Cricetulus griseus: one gene and its partners. The protein of the gene in region 1 interacts with the protein of each later gene in a biochemical or structural test. Links are inferred from orthologs where the notes say so. Each region holds a gene or a part of one and is shown in the gene's direction. Other genes may lie near its edges.

Region 1 (5,327 bases):
TGTGTAGCCCTGGCTGTCTTGGACCCGATTTTTAGACCAGGCTAGTCTCGAACTCAAAGATCCACCTGCCTCTGACCCCCCACCCTTACCCCAGTGCTGGGATTAAAGGAGTACACCACCACAGCCCAGCAAGCCCCAGTTACTCTTGAGTCCAAGAGTTTGAAGCTAGTCTGAGCAAGAGAGTAAGACTTATCTTCATAAATAAGGGCAAACAAGGAGCGCGTGGGAGGAAGCTCGTGCCTGTACCGTCAGAACTCGGGAGGCTGAAGCAGGAGGGTTGCTGCTGAGCTTAAGCCAGCCGAGGCTGCAGAGTGAGACCCTGTCTTACAACTACAACAAAAAAACAAAGGAAAGGAGGATGAAGACAACAGAAACCCTGAGGGCATAGGGAGTAAGTCTACATTCACACAAGCCACACTGTACCCTGAGACTCTAGCTACACCCAGCGAGAGATAAAGACCCCACCCACACACACACTCCCCTAAGAAATACAATGTTAAGAACTACTTTTGGCCCTACAGGACAGGCAGTGACAATAAACTGAGGTGTGAGATCCCCAAACAAATTCCTGGAGGCTGGCGGAACGGACTGGAGGATCCTGGCTTAGCCTGTGCCACACGTCCATCCGCTACCCAGTGGCACTGAACAGGAAGAACACACACAAACCCATCCCCAGCCCGCTTTCCACCTGAGAAGGGAGGGCCACGTAGAAAGACCTGAAACTCTCCCGCTTTTTCACTTTTTATTAGACGCTGCACCGCAACGGGATCGGGACCATCAGCGCGCACCGCGAAGCCCCAGTGCCAGTCGGGCGTTTGGGGGCGCGGGCCGGGGTGTGGGCTGGGCCTTCCCAGCTCTCTGACCCACTCGGGAACGAGGGGGCATCGCAACAGGATGCGGTAAGAAGCTCCGCAACCGTGTCACATCATCAGCACGGCGGGCGGGGGCCCCGCGTGGCGCGGCGACTCCGGGAGGCAGAGGCGGGGGCATCGCCCGGAACCCCAAGCCAGGGTGCGCTCGCTGTCCCGAGAAAACCCCGCGTGCCGGTGGACGCGGCAACACGGGCAAACCTGCCCTCCGACCTCGGCCCGAGCAGGCGAGGAGACCCGGGGGGAACCGGAGCCACCGGTGTCCGCGCCGCGGAGAGCTCGGCACGCGGAGGGCGCCGCGCGAGTCCCGCGAGACGTCCGCTGGGCGCGGCGGGTTGCCGGGACGACGGCGCCGGGCTGCGCAGGCGTGCTGGGGCGCGCTCGCCTCGCCGTCGCCGCGCCTTTCCCTTTAAGCTCGGGCCGGCCGCGTCGCCGCTTCATGAATGGAGCCCACGTGACCAAACATCATGTGACGTCTGAGGAGCGGCGGCGGCGGCGGCGGCGGCGGCGGCGGTGGCGGATTCTGACCCGGTCCGGCCCGGCCTTCCCAGCGCGCTCGGCCCGGCCCGCGCGAGCGCCCAGTCGCCCCAAGCCCGCGGCCCGGACCCTTCGCGCCCGCCCCAGCCCCGCGCAGCCTCGGAGCGCGCGCGGCCCCGCCCCAGCCCCGCCTCGGCCCGCCGGGGCCCGCAGTGTGGTGAGTGCGGGGGCTGGGGCGGGCGGGCGAGCGGCGGGCGGGCGGCGGGGCGGGGCCTGGCCTCGGGGCTGCGGCGCACCGTGCGACGGCGGCGCGGGCCCCGGTTTCTGCGCCAGGCGGTCGGAAGCCGGCGGCTCGCCGGTGCCACCCCCGGGCTGTGGGCCGGGCGAGGCGAGGCTGGGAGCGCCGGGCGTGCGCGCGACGGACCCCCGGGCGCCCCGCGGGGGGCGCGATTAAAGGGCGAGGTCGGCGCGTCTGCCCGGGTCAGCGGGGCGGCCGCACCGAGCTGCTGACTCATCAGGTGTCTGTCGGCTTCCGCGCGGGCGGGGCCGGGCGGGCAGGGGCAGGGGCGGCGGCGGCGGCGGGGAGACCCCGCTGAGCGGCTTGGGCTCGCCACGCGCGTGCGAGCCCAGCGGAGACGTGCTGAGTCATCAGCATGAGGTCACTCGGTGCTCCTGCTGACGCGGGCCCGGGGCGGGGGGCCCAGGCCGGCTCTCGGGCAGTCCGAGCGGGCGGCAGGGCTCGATCCGGGCGGCGAAGGTCGGGCCAGGAGCCGGGGGTCGTGTTTAAGTTTATCGGACCTGTGAGTTGGAGGCAAAGGCCTCGAGGGACGCATCACCGGGGTGCGCCGCGGGTTCCTCGCGGGGTGGAAGGTAGAGCCCCGGGCTTACGCATCCCCCTAGGCTCTGGGGCTCCTGGTCCAGCTCCCCAAACTGGGAGACCGATCGGAGTACGCTGAGGGGAGGAGCCTAGGTGGGCCGAGCCCGCTTGTCTGGGAAGGAGGCTTTCCTTCTGAGTGACCCTGGCTGGCCGGGCGGCGTCGGCCTTGCACCGAAAAGACCGGGAGTCAGGACAGAAGGGTTGTGTGGCTTGAGGAAGCCGGGGCAGCTCTGCCAGCTAATGGGAGGGAAGCGTGGATGGTACCCGGTGGAAGTTTTGAGGTGCGAGCATGGAGTGGAGAACGTAGTTCTTTCTCATTTACCTCTCCTTTATCCCTGTCAGAAGAGTTTGGGGTCCCACTGTCGCCCGAAGTTAGCAAAAAGTGTGTGTGCCCTGTTGGGAGGCTGACCTGATGACAGCCTGTGTGGGGTGTGGCCCCCACCTTTGCATGGCTGCGTGGATGTTTACTGATTTCTCTTGCTGTGAAGGGTCCCGAGCTCTATTCCGCATTGCTTTCCTTGCCCGGGGTTTCATGGCTAGCTTAAGCTGACCTTGGGGTTAGGCTTAGAGACTTCCCATCCGCACTTACTACACTGAGCCCTGAGAATGCTCGTAGGTGCCAGGTGTTTCGTTTAGGGTGGAACTTTGTGCCCTATGAAAATTCAAGATCCCAGAGAGGTGTTTAAACTTTGGAGTCACTATGCTTCTGTGACATTTAAGTTGTTTTCAAATACTGTCAGTATCTGGGGTAGGGGAGACCTGAGTTTGGGCCTCGTGCACTGGAGTTTGCCCGAAAGGTTGAGGAAGGGCCACTGTCTTGCTTGAGACTAGTGTCCAGATGTCTGCTCTGAGAGTATTTGGAGGAGAGCAGAGCTGGGGGGCAAGCTGGCCTTGAGCAGCTTCTCTGAGCAGCTTCCTCAGGCTCTGAACTATACCTCAGGACAGCTGTCCCCCAAAGCTGTCTGCCTTGTCACCGTGTGACCCTAGGTTGGCAGGAGCTAGGCAGGCAGCTGGAAACACTAGCTTTGCTGAGACCTGCTCTCCCTCCCCGCTTAAGCATGCACAAGCACGGGCGAGCACACACACACACCTTTCACACACACACACACACACACCTTACACACACACACACACCTTACACACACACACACCTTTCACACACACACCTTACACACACACACACCTTACACACACACACCTTACACACACACACACCTTACACACACACACCTTACACACACACACACACCTTACACACACACCTTTCACACACACACACCTTACACACACACACACCTTACACACACACACACCTTACACACACACCTTTCACACACACACACACCTTTCACACACACCTTTCACACACACACACCTTTCACACACACACCTTTCACACACACACACACACCTTTCACACTCACACACACACACACACACACCTTACACACACACACACACACACACACACCTTTGACCAGGAGGCAGTTGGCTGCACTTGTGCTGATCAGGCCTTCAGCAGAGGGGAAAATCTGTTGAGGAGGCACTTTTCAGCTCCCAGCTACCACACACTGCACTTCCCTGTGCAATCGCGGGAAGTCTGCAGTCTGTGTGAAAAAAGCTCCTGCTAGGGCTGCCTCTCTCACCTTTTCTTGTGCTCCTGGTGTGAGCCGGGGGCCACCTTCTAAGAAAGGCAGCTCCTCTTCAGACCCCTAGCCCTGACTTCTTTCTCTTTGATCTAACGGGACTCTTGCCTCTGAAAATGCTCTTAATCTGGCCCTGGAGAAGTGTCTCCAGCTTCTGTGCTTAGCACGTCCTGTGCAAGACTGAGAGTAGTAGGGTCTTTGCTCAGATGAGAACAGGAGCCTCTACCTCCCTGGCTCACACTTTAGTTCTTTTGATAAGTGTTAAGAAGCACCCCCCCACTCCCCACCCCCACTCCTCACCCCCACCCCCCACCCCCACCCCCCACCCCCCACCCCGACACATTGTTGCCTAAAGTGCTTACAGCCTTCAGCCTCCCCTGGAAGACACTGCAACAACCTCTCCTGCAGTTCCTTCCATTTCCCTGCATCTGTAGCCATGGTGCTGGGCTAAGTGGGGGATTCCCAGCCTGGGTATACAAAAATGTTCTTGGCAAGGCTTTAGAAATCAGAAATTTTAAAAAGTGCCAGAGGGTAGCTGACCGTAGAAGGTAGCTGTTGTGCTTTTGTTCCCTGGCCCTGTGGTCACTGACCCTAGGCAGAGAGCCAGAGACTAGCCAGTGACCCAAAAGGGGCTGGCTCTTGCCTGTTACCAGCTAACAGTGCCCTCCCTCTGTTAATTGTGGGGGCCCTTGTGAAACACCCAGTATCGGGTGGGGCAGGAGCACAGGATGCCGCAACCAAGCCACAGGATGGTTACTCCATCTGTTAAGGAGGTGGACAGGGAGGACTGGAGGGGCCTGGGCTCAGCTCCTCCCAGCTGGATTGCCTGCTACCTGGAAGGTGAGAGGATTCCCAGTCAGCACAGTTAGAGCAAACCTGGTTGGTCCTCTGCCAAAATGAGGCAGGAAGCAGCCTCCTAAGTCCTAGAGGGAGAAAGGGCTTTCTTTTGTCCTGGGCAAGCTTAGGGACAAATACATGGAAAGTAGGACCCTGCAGTACAGGGTCCTTGACTGACCCTTGCCTGCCGTTGGTCCCAGTAGTGGGTCTCCTGGGGAACTGTTGGCTGGCCTTAGGAATGGGAGAGCGGCTCAGGAAGAGAGGGAGGCGATGTGCTGAGTCAGCGTGACTCGCCAGGAACAGTGTGCTCTGGGGCAGTGCTGGGGTTATTTTTAAAGCTCAGCTTCCTTCTAGGCTTGCCCCTCCTGCAGCCCAGACCTTCTAATCTCTCTCTGCTCCCTTTGTCTTCTGCCTTCACACAGCTGGCTCTTCCCTGGGTAAAGCCTCCCCATCTCCCACCTGTCTTTCTAGGGAAAGGGCCTTCTGAAGCAGCCCAGCTCAGGTCAGGTGAGGGCAAGGTTCAGTGGGCTGAGCACCGGACAGCAAGCTTCCTGTTGGGGTGTAAAGGGGGTCTACAGGGTCCTGACCTGTGCTCTGTGTCTTGCAGAGTGCCTGCTCATT
Region 2 (5,518 bases), on another chromosome or scaffold:
AGGAATGTTTTCCATATACCCCAGGTGGGAACGTGGTACACAGTAAGATTTGTGGCTCTGACTAGATGCAGTCTGTTCCTTCTTAGAGCAGTAAGGTTCTCTAGTCCTGATTCCATTTAATTGGAGACTGTGATGCAATTTGTCCAAGGTCATGCATCTTGAAGAGTAGAGAATCTTGCCTTCTAGGGCAAGATCTTGTCTTGCACCGCAGATTCTTACTCAGAAAGACAGGAGAGGCAAAGAGAGGTAGAGTGTGTGAAGAACTATGAGGCAATAGTCATAGTCCCTGCCCACCCACCCCCCAAAGTCCTTCTCCATTCACTCTGCCTTTGGGCAATTTCCGCCAGAACCTGGGTGGGGAGGGTGGAGTTCCGGTGTTGAAATGGCATCCTGGACAGACATAAACACCCCACCCATTCTACCCATTGGTCAAAGGACTGTGCCTATACCAACTCCCATGTCTGGGGATGGCATTATAGCAAGAGGGTGGAGGCAGGGCCTCAGGCAGATCACCTGTGAAAAGGACACTTGGTAGTGACTATACATTTTGTGGTAGGTACAAGAGGGGATTCCATAATGAATAGCAGGAATGGGCTCTTCTTGTGTTGGGTGATGTAAAATCATATAATACAATTTTCTTGAGTTCCTCCAGTCCCATCATCCTCTGTTCTTCTGTAAGGTTTCCTTTATTTGTATGGTGTGCACTGTAGGTGTGCTTGCATGCACATGCTATGCTATGTCTGTCCCTGAGAGATCAGGGGAACCTTGACAAGTCTACTTGGAATCTATTGTTGGACACAAAGAGAACAGATTCAGATAGAGATGGGAATCAAAGAATATGGAGGTAGGGACCCAGAGGAGATGATGAAAGCAAGGGTAAGACTTTGCAGAGAACTGTCCAAGCAGCAAGGGATTCTTCCAGTTCAAGTTGTCTAACTCCCTGACTTTACAACTGGGAGAACTGATCAGGAGCAGTGAGATGGCTTGCCCAACTACCACACTGCTGTCTTGGGGCAGAACTGAAGTTATAGCCCAGATTAAAAGAAGAGGAACCTTGGGAACCAAAGGGGGCCTAGAAAGCAGCAAGGGATATGATCAGGTTCCAACCTGTCACCTACCAGCTTGGGCTTCAGTATCTGCCTTCTATCCCTTACAAGGTCTTTATGAAGCCCAGCACAATTTTTGACTTACTTGCTAAGTCTTTGCTGTATGTTGACCTTGGAAGAGAAAGGAGTCATGGTCATGTGGGGTGGGGCATGGCCAAATGACCTGGTTGGGATACAGGGTAGAGGTCCAGTGTCTCCTGGAGCCCATTCCTCCTCTGCCTCTGCTGCCTGCAGCTGATAAGCCTCTTATCTGGCTCAGGCAGAGTAGCCCAGAGTAAGGATGGGAGTAGAGGGCAGGGCTGCTATCACCAGCAGGCCTGGGCCCTATCTAAGACAAGGGGAGGGGCTGTCTGCCTGCACTTTCCACAACACACTGCTTGGGGATCCCCGAGCAGAGCATTCACTCACATCTTGGGAAGAAAGGAAAGAACTGAAATGCTAGGCGTGGTGGCGCACACCTCTAATTCCAACACTCTGGAGGCAGAGGCAGGCAGGTCTCTGTGATTTAGAGGCCAGCCTGGTCTCCAGAGCTAGTTCCAGGACAGCCAGGGCTACATAGTAAGATCCTGTTTCAAACAACAAAACTGAGGACCCAAGAGGAAGGCATGGGTGACTCTTGATGTTTTCTCCCAGAATGGAAAACAAAACCTCAACCATAAAACCTCAGAAGACTGAATTTTGCCTCTGGACAGGAATACCATTTTTAGGGAGTAAGAGAAGATATCTTGTCTGAGAAAAAGTAAAGATACCTACTGTGTGCCCAGAGGAGTGACTATGGCCAGAGCAGGTGAGGTAGAGAGTATGCCACAGAAAAGAACTTTACAGTTCATAGGATGTTGGTGGTCCTGGCATGAGTGAACCACTGGCATTGCTCCTTTCTTCTGGGGATTCTGCACAGGGATGGGACAAACTTTCAATCTGACAGCAGCAGCTCTAACCCTTCCTTCCGTCCACACAGGTTGCTGGAGCCCTCTGAGCTTTGGAGGAACTAGGGCCAGAAGCTGGCACAGTAGGATGCCCCCGTGTCCTCCTCAGCAGAACAGGGACAGGTTGTCACAGCTGCCTGTTGGGGAGCTGGGCGAGATGGAATTGACTTGGCAAGAGATCATGTCCATTACTGAGCTGCAGGTGAGTATGGGGTGGGCACTGCAGAGGTAGGGGCTCTGGCCTGGTCAGAAACAGAGTTTGTGTGTGGGTGTGGGTGTGGGGGCGGCAATGAGGAACACGGAGGAGAGGGGGAAGGGAAGGATTTGGTTGGGGATGTGGGCTCCTGCCCAGCTGCTCTGCTCACATTTCTACAACCCTCTTCTCTGCCCCTCTCTTTATTTCCTTCTCATCTGATCAGCCTCTCTTCCAGCACTGCCTGTCTTCCCTCATTGCCACCCCTCACCCTTAGCAACCAGCTCCTTACTCCAGGTAGCAGAGCCTTAGTTAAAGGGCCTCAGAAAGGGGAGACAGACTATGCCGGGGTCCTCTCTTGAATGTTGGACAAAGGGGTGTCTGTTGGTCTAACAATGATGTCTTTGTCCTCAGCTAGGCTTGAGCAGGATAGCTCTCCTACGTAAGTTGGGGGCCTTGTTTGTAACATGTGTTCTCCTCCTCACTGCACCTGGACAGAGGGCTAACCCCCAGCCTGGCCTCTGTGCCTGCCCCCCCCCCCCCAGGCCTGGTGTCCTCAGGTTCTGCCCTAGACCCTCCTCCCACACACCAGCTCCCTCTGCTGGGCACCCAGCGAATGGCGAGACCTTGAACTTGACCCTTTGACCCTACCTAACCATAGCAGGAAAAGGATTCTGAGGGTCCATCTTGGGTAATAATGGCCTTGTCTTCCTAAAGAGAGTGAAGGAACAGGAGCTATTTGGCCCAGTAAGAGTTTCTCCTTAGAAGGAGACTCTGAACCCATTTCAGTGCAAAGTTATCTTCTCTGAGGTCTCACAGTGACTTTTATTCCTACTAAATTGCTCTTCAGCTGGGCGTTGGTGGCGCTCGCCTTTGATCCCAGCACTCGGGAGACAGAGGCAGGCAGATCTCTGTGAGTTCAAGGCCAGCCTGGTCTACAGAGCAAGTGCCAGGATAGGCCCCAAAGCAATACAGACAAACCCTGTCTCAAAAAACAAACAAAACAAAAACAAACTGCTTTTCTTCCTCTCTCTTTTTTTTTTTTCTTTTTGTTTTTGGAGACAGGGTTTCTCTGTGTAGCACTGGCTGTCCTGGAACTCACTCTGTAGACCAGGCTGGCCTCGAACTCAGAGATTTAGCAGCTTCTGCCTCCCCAGTGCTAAGATGAATGATGTGTGCCACCATGCCCAGATTCTGGCTAGGTAGCCCTGGAGTTTGCTATGTATACCAGGATGGTCTTGAACTCAAGAGAGATACACCTGCCCCTTGAATGCTTGGATTAAAGGCCTCTTGATTTTTTTTTTTTTTAAATCTCATGTACATTCCTGTTCTTCCTGCATGTATGTCTGTGTGAAGGTGTTGGATCCCCTGGAACTGGAGTTAGTTATGAGCTGCCATATGGGTACTGAGAATTGAACTTGGGTCCTCTGGAAGAGCAGTTCTTAACTGCTGAGCCAATTCTCCAGCCCCTTTCTTGATTTTTGAAACAGGGTCTCACACAGCCCACACTGGCCTTGTACTTTTTATGTAGCCAAGACTGTCATTAAACTCATGACCCTCCTGTTTCTACATCTCAAATGCTATTATAAGCCTATGCCACCATGCTGCTTTCTTTCCTTTTTTTTTTTTTTAATAACTTATATTTTATTTGCATTGGTGTTTTGCCTGGATGTATGTCCATGTGAGGGTGTCAGATCTTGGATTTACAGACAGTTGTGAGCTGCCATGTGGTTGCTGGGAATTGAACTTGGGTCCTTTGGAAGAGCAGTCAGTGCCTGCCTCTGCCTCCTGAGTGCTGGGATTTAAAGGCGTTAGCCACCAACGCCTGGCTAACAAGTTTGTTTTTTTTTCTGGAGTAGGGTTTCTCTGTGGTTTTGGAGGCTGTCCTGGAACTATCTCTTGTAGATCAGGCTGGTCTTGAACTCAGAGATCTGCCTGCCTCTGCCTTCCAAATTCTGGGATTAAAGGTTTGAGACACCACCGCCCAGCTTCCTAACTAGCTCTTATAATTTAAATTAACCCATTTATTAAGTATTAATCTATGCTCTATCACATGGAGATCACAGTCTATCTTCTAACCTTTGTCATGTCTTTCTTTGCAGGGTCTAAATGTTCCAAGTGAGCCATCCTTTGAGCCCCAAGCACCCACCCCATATGCTGGACCACTGCCACCTCCAACATACTGCCCCTGTTCAGTTCACCCAGATGCAGGCTTTTCCCTGCCCCTACCACCTTATGAGCTGCCAGCAGCATCTACTCCCCATGTCCCAGACCTCCCATACTCCTATGGCAACATGGCTATACCAGTGTCAAAGCCACTCACCCTTTCAGGCCTGCTCAATGAGCCCCTCCCGGACCCCTTAGCTCTCCTGGACATTGGGCTACCAGTGGGGGCACCCAAGCCCCAAGAAGACCCAGAATCCGACTCAGGATTATCCCTCAACTACAGTGATGCAGAATCTCTTGAGCTAGAGGGTGCAGAGGCTGGCAGGCGGAGGAGCGAGTATGTGGACATGTACCCGGTGGAGTACCCTTACTCCCATATGCCCAACTCCTTGGCCCACCCTAACTATACTTTGCCACCCACTGAGAACCCCTTGGGCTTAGAGTCATCCTCTGGCCCTGTGCGGGCTAAGCCTGCTGTTAGGGGAGAGGCGGGGAGTCGGGATGAGCGGCGCGCCATGGCCATGAAGATTCCTTTCCCTACGGACAAGATTGTCAACTTGCCTGTAGATGACTTTAATGAGCTGTTGGCGCAGTACCCGCTAACAGAGAGCCAGTTGGCTCTAGTTCGGGACATCCGACGGCGGGGCAAGAACAAGGTGGCAGCCCAGAATTGTCGCAAGAGAAAACTGGAAACCATTGTGCAGCTAGAGAGGGAGCTGGAGCGGCTGGGTAGTGAAAGAGAGCGGCTTCTCAGAGCCCGAGGCGAAGCCGACCGCACTCTGGAGGTCATGCGCCAACAGTTGGCAGAGTTGTACCATGACATTTTCCAACATCTTCGGGATGAATCTGGCAACAGTTATTCACCGGAGGAATATGTACTGCAACAGGCTGCTGATGGGGCCATCTTTCTGGTGCCCCGTGGGACCAAGATGGAGACCACCGATTGAGCTGGCTTAGAGGAGACTGACAATGGTGCTAGGGCCGCCCCCACATTCCCTTCTGATAAAGGTACTCCCCAGCCCCAGGACCCATAAGGCACTGCATTCTTCAGACCCAGAGGGCAGATGCAACCTTAGCATTTGGATGTCCCAAGGTATGTTCAGTGAGGTTAGCCTAGAGGCCAGGGA
Region 3 (5,569 bases), about 23 Mb from region 1:
TTAGGGGCTTGTCATTTTTCTGTTTGTTAGATTTTTTTTTTCACTTTTCTGGTTGTTTTTGTTTTTAGATAGGCTGTTGCTATGTAGCCCTCATTGGCATGAATGAAACTCATCATGTAAACCAAGCTGATTTCAAACTTGCAGGGATCCCTCTGCTTTCTGAGTGCTAGGATGACAAGCCTGTGCCCCTAGCCCCGTTAGGAATGCACTCTAGTTGAAATTGATGGAATGTACCCAAAATACATCACTTGAGGGGCTGAACACAGGAGGCTTGCCCTAAATTCCAGGACAGTCTGGGACCTTGGAACGAGAACCTGTCTCTAAAAATAAGGCAAAACAAACCACTGTATTGTCAGAATGCTTCTATTTTAGCGGGATCTTTGAATTACAGGCTCAACCTGCTTGGTTTCCTTTCCCCTTGTAACTATCTTTTTGTTTATCAAAGCAGTTTGAACCCAGTGCCTCTTGGATGCTAGGCAAGTACTCTAGTTACAAACTCTATCACCAAGTATCCTGGTACTCCTCTTTTTTTGAAATAGAGTCTGTATGTAGCCTTGGATGTTCTGGAATTGTCTATGTAGACCAGGCTGTTCTTGAAGTCACAGAGATCTGCCTGCCTCTGCCTCCCAAGAGTACTGGGAGCCCTGGCTGCCCTGTTGTTTTGGAGACCCAACAGTTAATATTCAAATTTCTTGTGTCATAGGGTTTATATTGTAGTTTTTACTGGGACACATTAAAATGATGACTAAGTAAAGCAGTCTTTGAAAGTGTAAACTAGCTCAAAATAACTTAATTTAAAAAGGTATATAGTAGTTTAGTAACTTGCAAGGATCAGAAGGGAAGATGCTGGTGCGTATTTATACCAGTTAAAGTGCTTAACACTCTGTGAATCTCTCCAAATATTCGCGCAGCAGGAATCGATCTGATGTGTTATCTGCTGGCCTTGTCCTTAATTACACAAGGACAATAAACAATGAACTGTCAACTAGATCATGGCCCCTTAAAAGGAGACAAGAACTCTGTTGGCACCTCACCTCTGTCCCACAGCTGGGAACACAGTACAAATTCCAATTCAATGATTTCCTAAATGTGGTCTTCGACCTGCTGCATTAGAATTACTCAAGAGGGCATGCTATCAGGCCCTACCCCATGGCTACTGAACAAGAATCTCTCACAGGCTTTGCAATTTGGAATCTAACAAACGTCGAGAGCATACCAAATTTGAGAGTCACAAAAAAAAAAAAATGGCTTGGTTGTATTGGTGTATGGGATTGGAGTACTCCGGCAACCAAGGAGCGTTCCTGAAAAGCAAAAACTAAGCTGTTTACGAGTGGTTAGAGGAGGGGGAGGGGCTTCTCGGGCATTCTTTTGATGACAAAAATGGTTACTATGTTCCATCTCTCACACTACCAACATCCCACTACCGCCTTAACAATCTGTCTGCCCGGCAGTTTCCGCCATTTGACTGTTGCCTGGGCTACAAGATACCACCTTTCCTGTCCGACCCAGGTTACTACACCAGTCCCTAGGGCAAAGGTGTGTGTGTGGGTGGGGGGGGACACGACCGGTTTCCGTTGCCAGTACCCAAGATGGCTACACGAGCGTCGCCACCAGGAGAACCACATGCTCCGTTCTCCCGCCTCGGCTTCCTTAGGTCTCACTGGACTTTTGCAAGTCACCGTGGGAACCCTCAAGGACGGAATTCCGGGCTCCGGCGGCAATACTCCTCTCTCTGCCTGGAAAGACCTTATTCCTAGACAAACAATGCACCAGAAGCACCTAACTTATAACACCGTCCACCTTCGAAGCGCAGCGGAGAGGTTCGGAATGCCGGACACTAGGGCCTTCGCCCCACTCATTGGTGGGTTCACACCGCGGGGCGGGCCTGCACACTCATTGGTCTGCTCTCCACGTCAGTCTCGGGAAAAGGGGCTGAGGAGGCGGAGACAACACTTGGCTATTGGGTTCTCTTTGCCGTCAATCAAAGCGACATCCGGTGACGGTTTCGGCTTCGGCTAGCTGATTGGAGCAACTGTTTCTGGCGTGGCCGTGGAGGGCGGGCTTTCGAGTGCAGTGGAAGGAGGGGGCGGGGAGGGAAGCCGAGGCTGGGCGCTCCAGGCCGGCCGGAGGTGGCGGCGGCGGCGGTGGCGACGGCGGCGGCGGCGAGGCCGGGACTCGGGCTGAGGGCCTGCTGTGGCGACAGCGGTGGACTGCGACCTCAGCAGTGGGTACCTGACACATTCCCTTCCCTGACGAGAGAGCCGCGGCGCAACAGGGTCGAAGCTTGTGGGATGAGGGGCGGCGAGATGGGGTTGAGGGGCGGGAGGCAGGACGCGCGAGGCCAGGCGGGGTCCTAGTCCGACTCGGGCTCTGGACTTGGCCGGAGGGGAAAGCGGGGTGCAAACAAAGCTTGTTCCTGGGTGGGCTGGACCGCGAAGGGCCGAGGGCATGGGAGGGCGTGGTGAGGCCGGACTGGAGAGTGGGGTGGGGCCTCGGGCACGGAGGGCGGGGTGAGGCTCGCATTTAAGGGTGGGTCAGGGCCAGGGAAGTAGCACTTGTGGCTTGGTGTCCCAGAAAGCTAGAAGCCGGGGCGTCGACCGTGGGCATGGCAGCCTGGTCCCCAGCAGACTCGGGTATGGAGCAGGGTGGGACCGGACTCGCGCCCGGGTGCTCTCTGGCCTTCTTGGCTTTGAAGAACTTTGTCCGCTCTCTCAAACTTAATTGGCACTTGGGAAGTTTTAGTAGTAAATTGCGCGAGGGCGGGCGAGGATCAAAAGCAGAAATGTTTACTCAACCGAATGAGGGTATTCCGTGGGTGTGTGTGCCTCGTACGTGTAGGTCCCATTTCACCTTTAGAGTGAAGTTGATAGTGGGTTTCAACCCAGGAGTTGGTTTATCGGACTAATGAAAGCTCAAAAGTAGAAACCAGAAACGGAAAGGCAAATTTACCTTCTCCCCACTTGGCAACTTAGATTGAGAACTTAGCTATATCCTTCTGCTTTGGCTCAGAAGGTCATGCGAATAAAGATAAAACCTGTGAATTCAGATTTCCAGTGGAGCAGGGCCCACCCTCCTCCACTGCTCTCCTGTACCTTTCCCCTCCTTTCTTTCATTTTGCCTTACTAGAGATTGCAACAGGGCCTCTTAATTAGGCACCAATGGTCTGTATCCTTGCCCTTTAATTTTTTTCTATTGAAATGGTCTCATTATTTTGTCTAGGTTGGTCTTATACTCCTAATCATCATGTTTCAGCTTTCTTTTTTTATTTTTATTTTTTTAACGTAAAAATGACAGGAAAGGGAGATTAGATTTCAAAGTTGGAAAAACAAAAAAGTATCTTTCTATGTGTGAAATGAGGGCCCATCTACTTTTCACACGTCTCACTCTTTTGAGTTGGAAGGGACAATGACATGGGAAACCAACTTTTTTTTTTTTTTTTTTTTTTTTTTTTTTTTTTTAGATAGGAAATGGGCTTCTTGTGCTAAAATTAGAAACCGGGTAATGTGTTCTATTAGCAGTGTTGGTAAATTAGACAAAGTGTAAGGTATTTTGAATGTCATGTTCAGTGTCTGCTTCTTTGAAAACTACTTTTTTAAAAAAATATAACAAATGCAGTATTTGGTAACTGTGTTTCCTTCTTTTTGTAGTTGGTACAACAGGTTTGGTTCTGTTTTTTCTTGTAAAAGTAGCCTTTTAATTTGTTTCCTACCTCCTCCCTGAAGGTTCTTACCCTGATCATGATGTAAAGGGTATGGAATCTTATCTTGTTGCTCTTGTGATTCCCATTTCAGGTTTCTCTGGAAACCCCCCTGGTAAGTGCAGAGGAGGAGGGACACTCTGACCCAAGACAAAGACCTGTAGCTCCAGCCAAAGGAAATAAACCCTAGCAAGGAGAAGGAACGAAAGAAAGAAAGAAACTATCAGCTGTCCCTGCGAACAGCCTGCAGTGGGATCTCCGTAGAGGACAGCTAATGTGAGTGAGGAAGTGACCGTATGTGGACTGTGGAGACAGTAAGTTGAGAGGGCCTTGAGGGCCTGGACTGGGTTAGTAACAGCTGAACTTTCAGAGGTGAGGTGTCAAGAAGGGAAAAGTGAATGTGGTCTGGAGTGTGGCTTTTGCTCCACAGGGTGTGCTTTCCTCTGGGGCCAATCGGGGAGATCAGCCCCTGTTTTGTGCCAGGGTGGGTTACAGGGTCTCGAACTGAGGAGGGTAACCTGCTGGCTGGAGTGGCAGAGCAGTGGCCTTGACTTGTCTTGTGGAAGATTTAAAAACAAAAAGCATAAACATTCTGGTCCTTCAGCAATGCTTTCTCTGAAGAAATACTTAACGGAAGGACTGCTCCAGTTCACCATCCTGCTGAGTCTGATTGGGGTTCGGGTGGACGTGGATACTTACCTGACCTCACAGCTCCCTCCACTCCGGGAGATCATCCTGGGGCCCAGCTCTGCCTATACTCAGACCCAGTTCCACAACCTGAGGAATACCTTGGATGGCTATGGTATCCACCCCAAGAGCATAGACCTGGACAATTACTTCACTGCCCGGCGACTCCTCAGTCAGGTGAGGGCCCTGGATAGGTTCCAGGTGCCTACCACTGAGGTAAATGCTTGGCTGGTTCACCGGGACCCAGAGGGGTCTGTCTCTGGCAGCCAGCCCAACTCAGGCCTTGCCCTTGAGAGTTCCAGTGGCCTCCAAGACGTGACAGGCCCAGACAACGGGGTGAGAGAAAGTGAAACGGAGCAGGGATTCAGTGAAGATTTGGAGGATTTGGGGGCTGTGGCCCCTCCTGCCGGTGGAGACTTAACCAAAGAGGTTAGTGGTGCTGTGGTGGTGGGTGGGCCTGGGTGTTGGCAGGAGTGGGTTGGTTCTGAGGGCTTGTTAGCTCCACTCCGAGTTCTTTAAGGAACCAAATAGATTAGGGTCAGGGGTTTGGACTGTTGGCTCTGCTTGGATAGGATTGGGCTTAATTGTCTGATTTCAGGGCTGGGAGCATGTCCATGTTTTGAACCATTGACCCACCTCTGAGTGTACTATCAGGGCAGGGTGGTTCCTAGACCATACCAGGGTTTTTAGTGCTTAGATTTCAATATGACTGCTGGAGGCTTTAGGTCGGGGAGGGCTACCTTTTGGGCTTTGATGGAGTATTTATTGTTTTGAAGACACTTACTGTCTGGCGCCTCTCTTGTCTTGTTACCACAAACACATTAAAACCTGATGCTGTACCCTAAAGTTCTCCATTGCTTTTAGGCCTGTTGTTGTCAACTCCCTTTAACTCTCCTGGGCTTGAGCCAAGAGGTAGACTTGGATAGTTATTCTTGGCCAGGAGAGGCCAAGGCTCCCATTCTCTGCTGCAGGGAGTAGAACAGAAAAGGCTGGAAGCTAGAAGAGAACTGTACTCTTCTCAGGTCAGCTTGTTCTGAGCTATTAGAGGTGACAACTTCTGGGTAGAAAAGGGTGCAGTTCCTTCCCATCAATGATGCAAATGACTACTGTGGCCCCTGTCTGACCTGGGTACTAAAACAGCTTTGAATTGCCACAAGCCCTAGGAGCTCAAAAGAGACCCACTGC

Evidence for each region.
Region 2: the proteins of Mafg (region 1) and Nfe2 form a complex in vitro, tested with the Homo sapiens proteins (2 studies listed by BioGRID and IntAct, with this or other methods). The link is inferred for Cricetulus griseus from reciprocal best matches to the Homo sapiens genes MAFG and NFE2.
Region 3: the proteins of Mafg (region 1) and Nfe2l1 form a complex in vitro, tested with the Homo sapiens proteins (2 studies listed by BioGRID and IntAct, with this or other methods). The link is inferred for Cricetulus griseus from reciprocal best matches to the Homo sapiens genes MAFG and NFE2L1.

The regions. Positions count from the first base shown.
Region 1 is NC_048600.1:133,124,521-133,129,847, reverse strand, and holds the start of Mafg (transcription factor MafG), read left to right. Parts: upstream 1-1,981; 5' UTR 1,982-1,999; coding exon 2,000-2,146; intron 2,147-4,217; exon of another isoform or gene 4,218-4,709; intron 4,710-4,765; exon of another isoform or gene 4,766-5,143; intron 5,144-5,165; exon of another isoform or gene 5,166-5,213; intron 5,214-5,313; coding exon 5,314-5,327. UniProt on the Homo sapiens protein: Since they lack a putative transactivation domain, the small Mafs behave as transcriptional repressors when they dimerize among themselves.
Region 2 is NC_048595.1:399,620,396-399,625,913, reverse strand, and holds the start of Nfe2 (transcription factor NF-E2 45 kDa subunit), read left to right. Parts: upstream 1-2,065; 5' UTR 2,066-2,120; coding exon 2,121-2,234; intron 2,235-4,327; coding exon 4,328-5,338; 3' UTR 5,339-5,518. UniProt on the Homo sapiens protein: Component of the NF-E2 complex essential for regulating erythroid and megakaryocytic maturation and differentiation. Binds to the hypersensitive site 2 (HS2) of the beta-globin control region (LCR).
Region 3 is NC_048600.1:109,978,382-109,983,950, reverse strand, and holds the start of Nfe2l1 (endoplasmic reticulum membrane sensor NFE2L1), read left to right. Parts: upstream 1-2,072; 5' UTR 2,073-2,224; exon of another isoform or gene 2,225-2,228; intron 2,229-2,499; exon of another isoform or gene 2,500-2,633; intron 2,634-3,791; 5' UTR 3,792-3,973; exon of another isoform or gene 3,974-4,301; 5' UTR 4,302-4,303; coding exon 4,304-4,813; intron 4,814-5,569.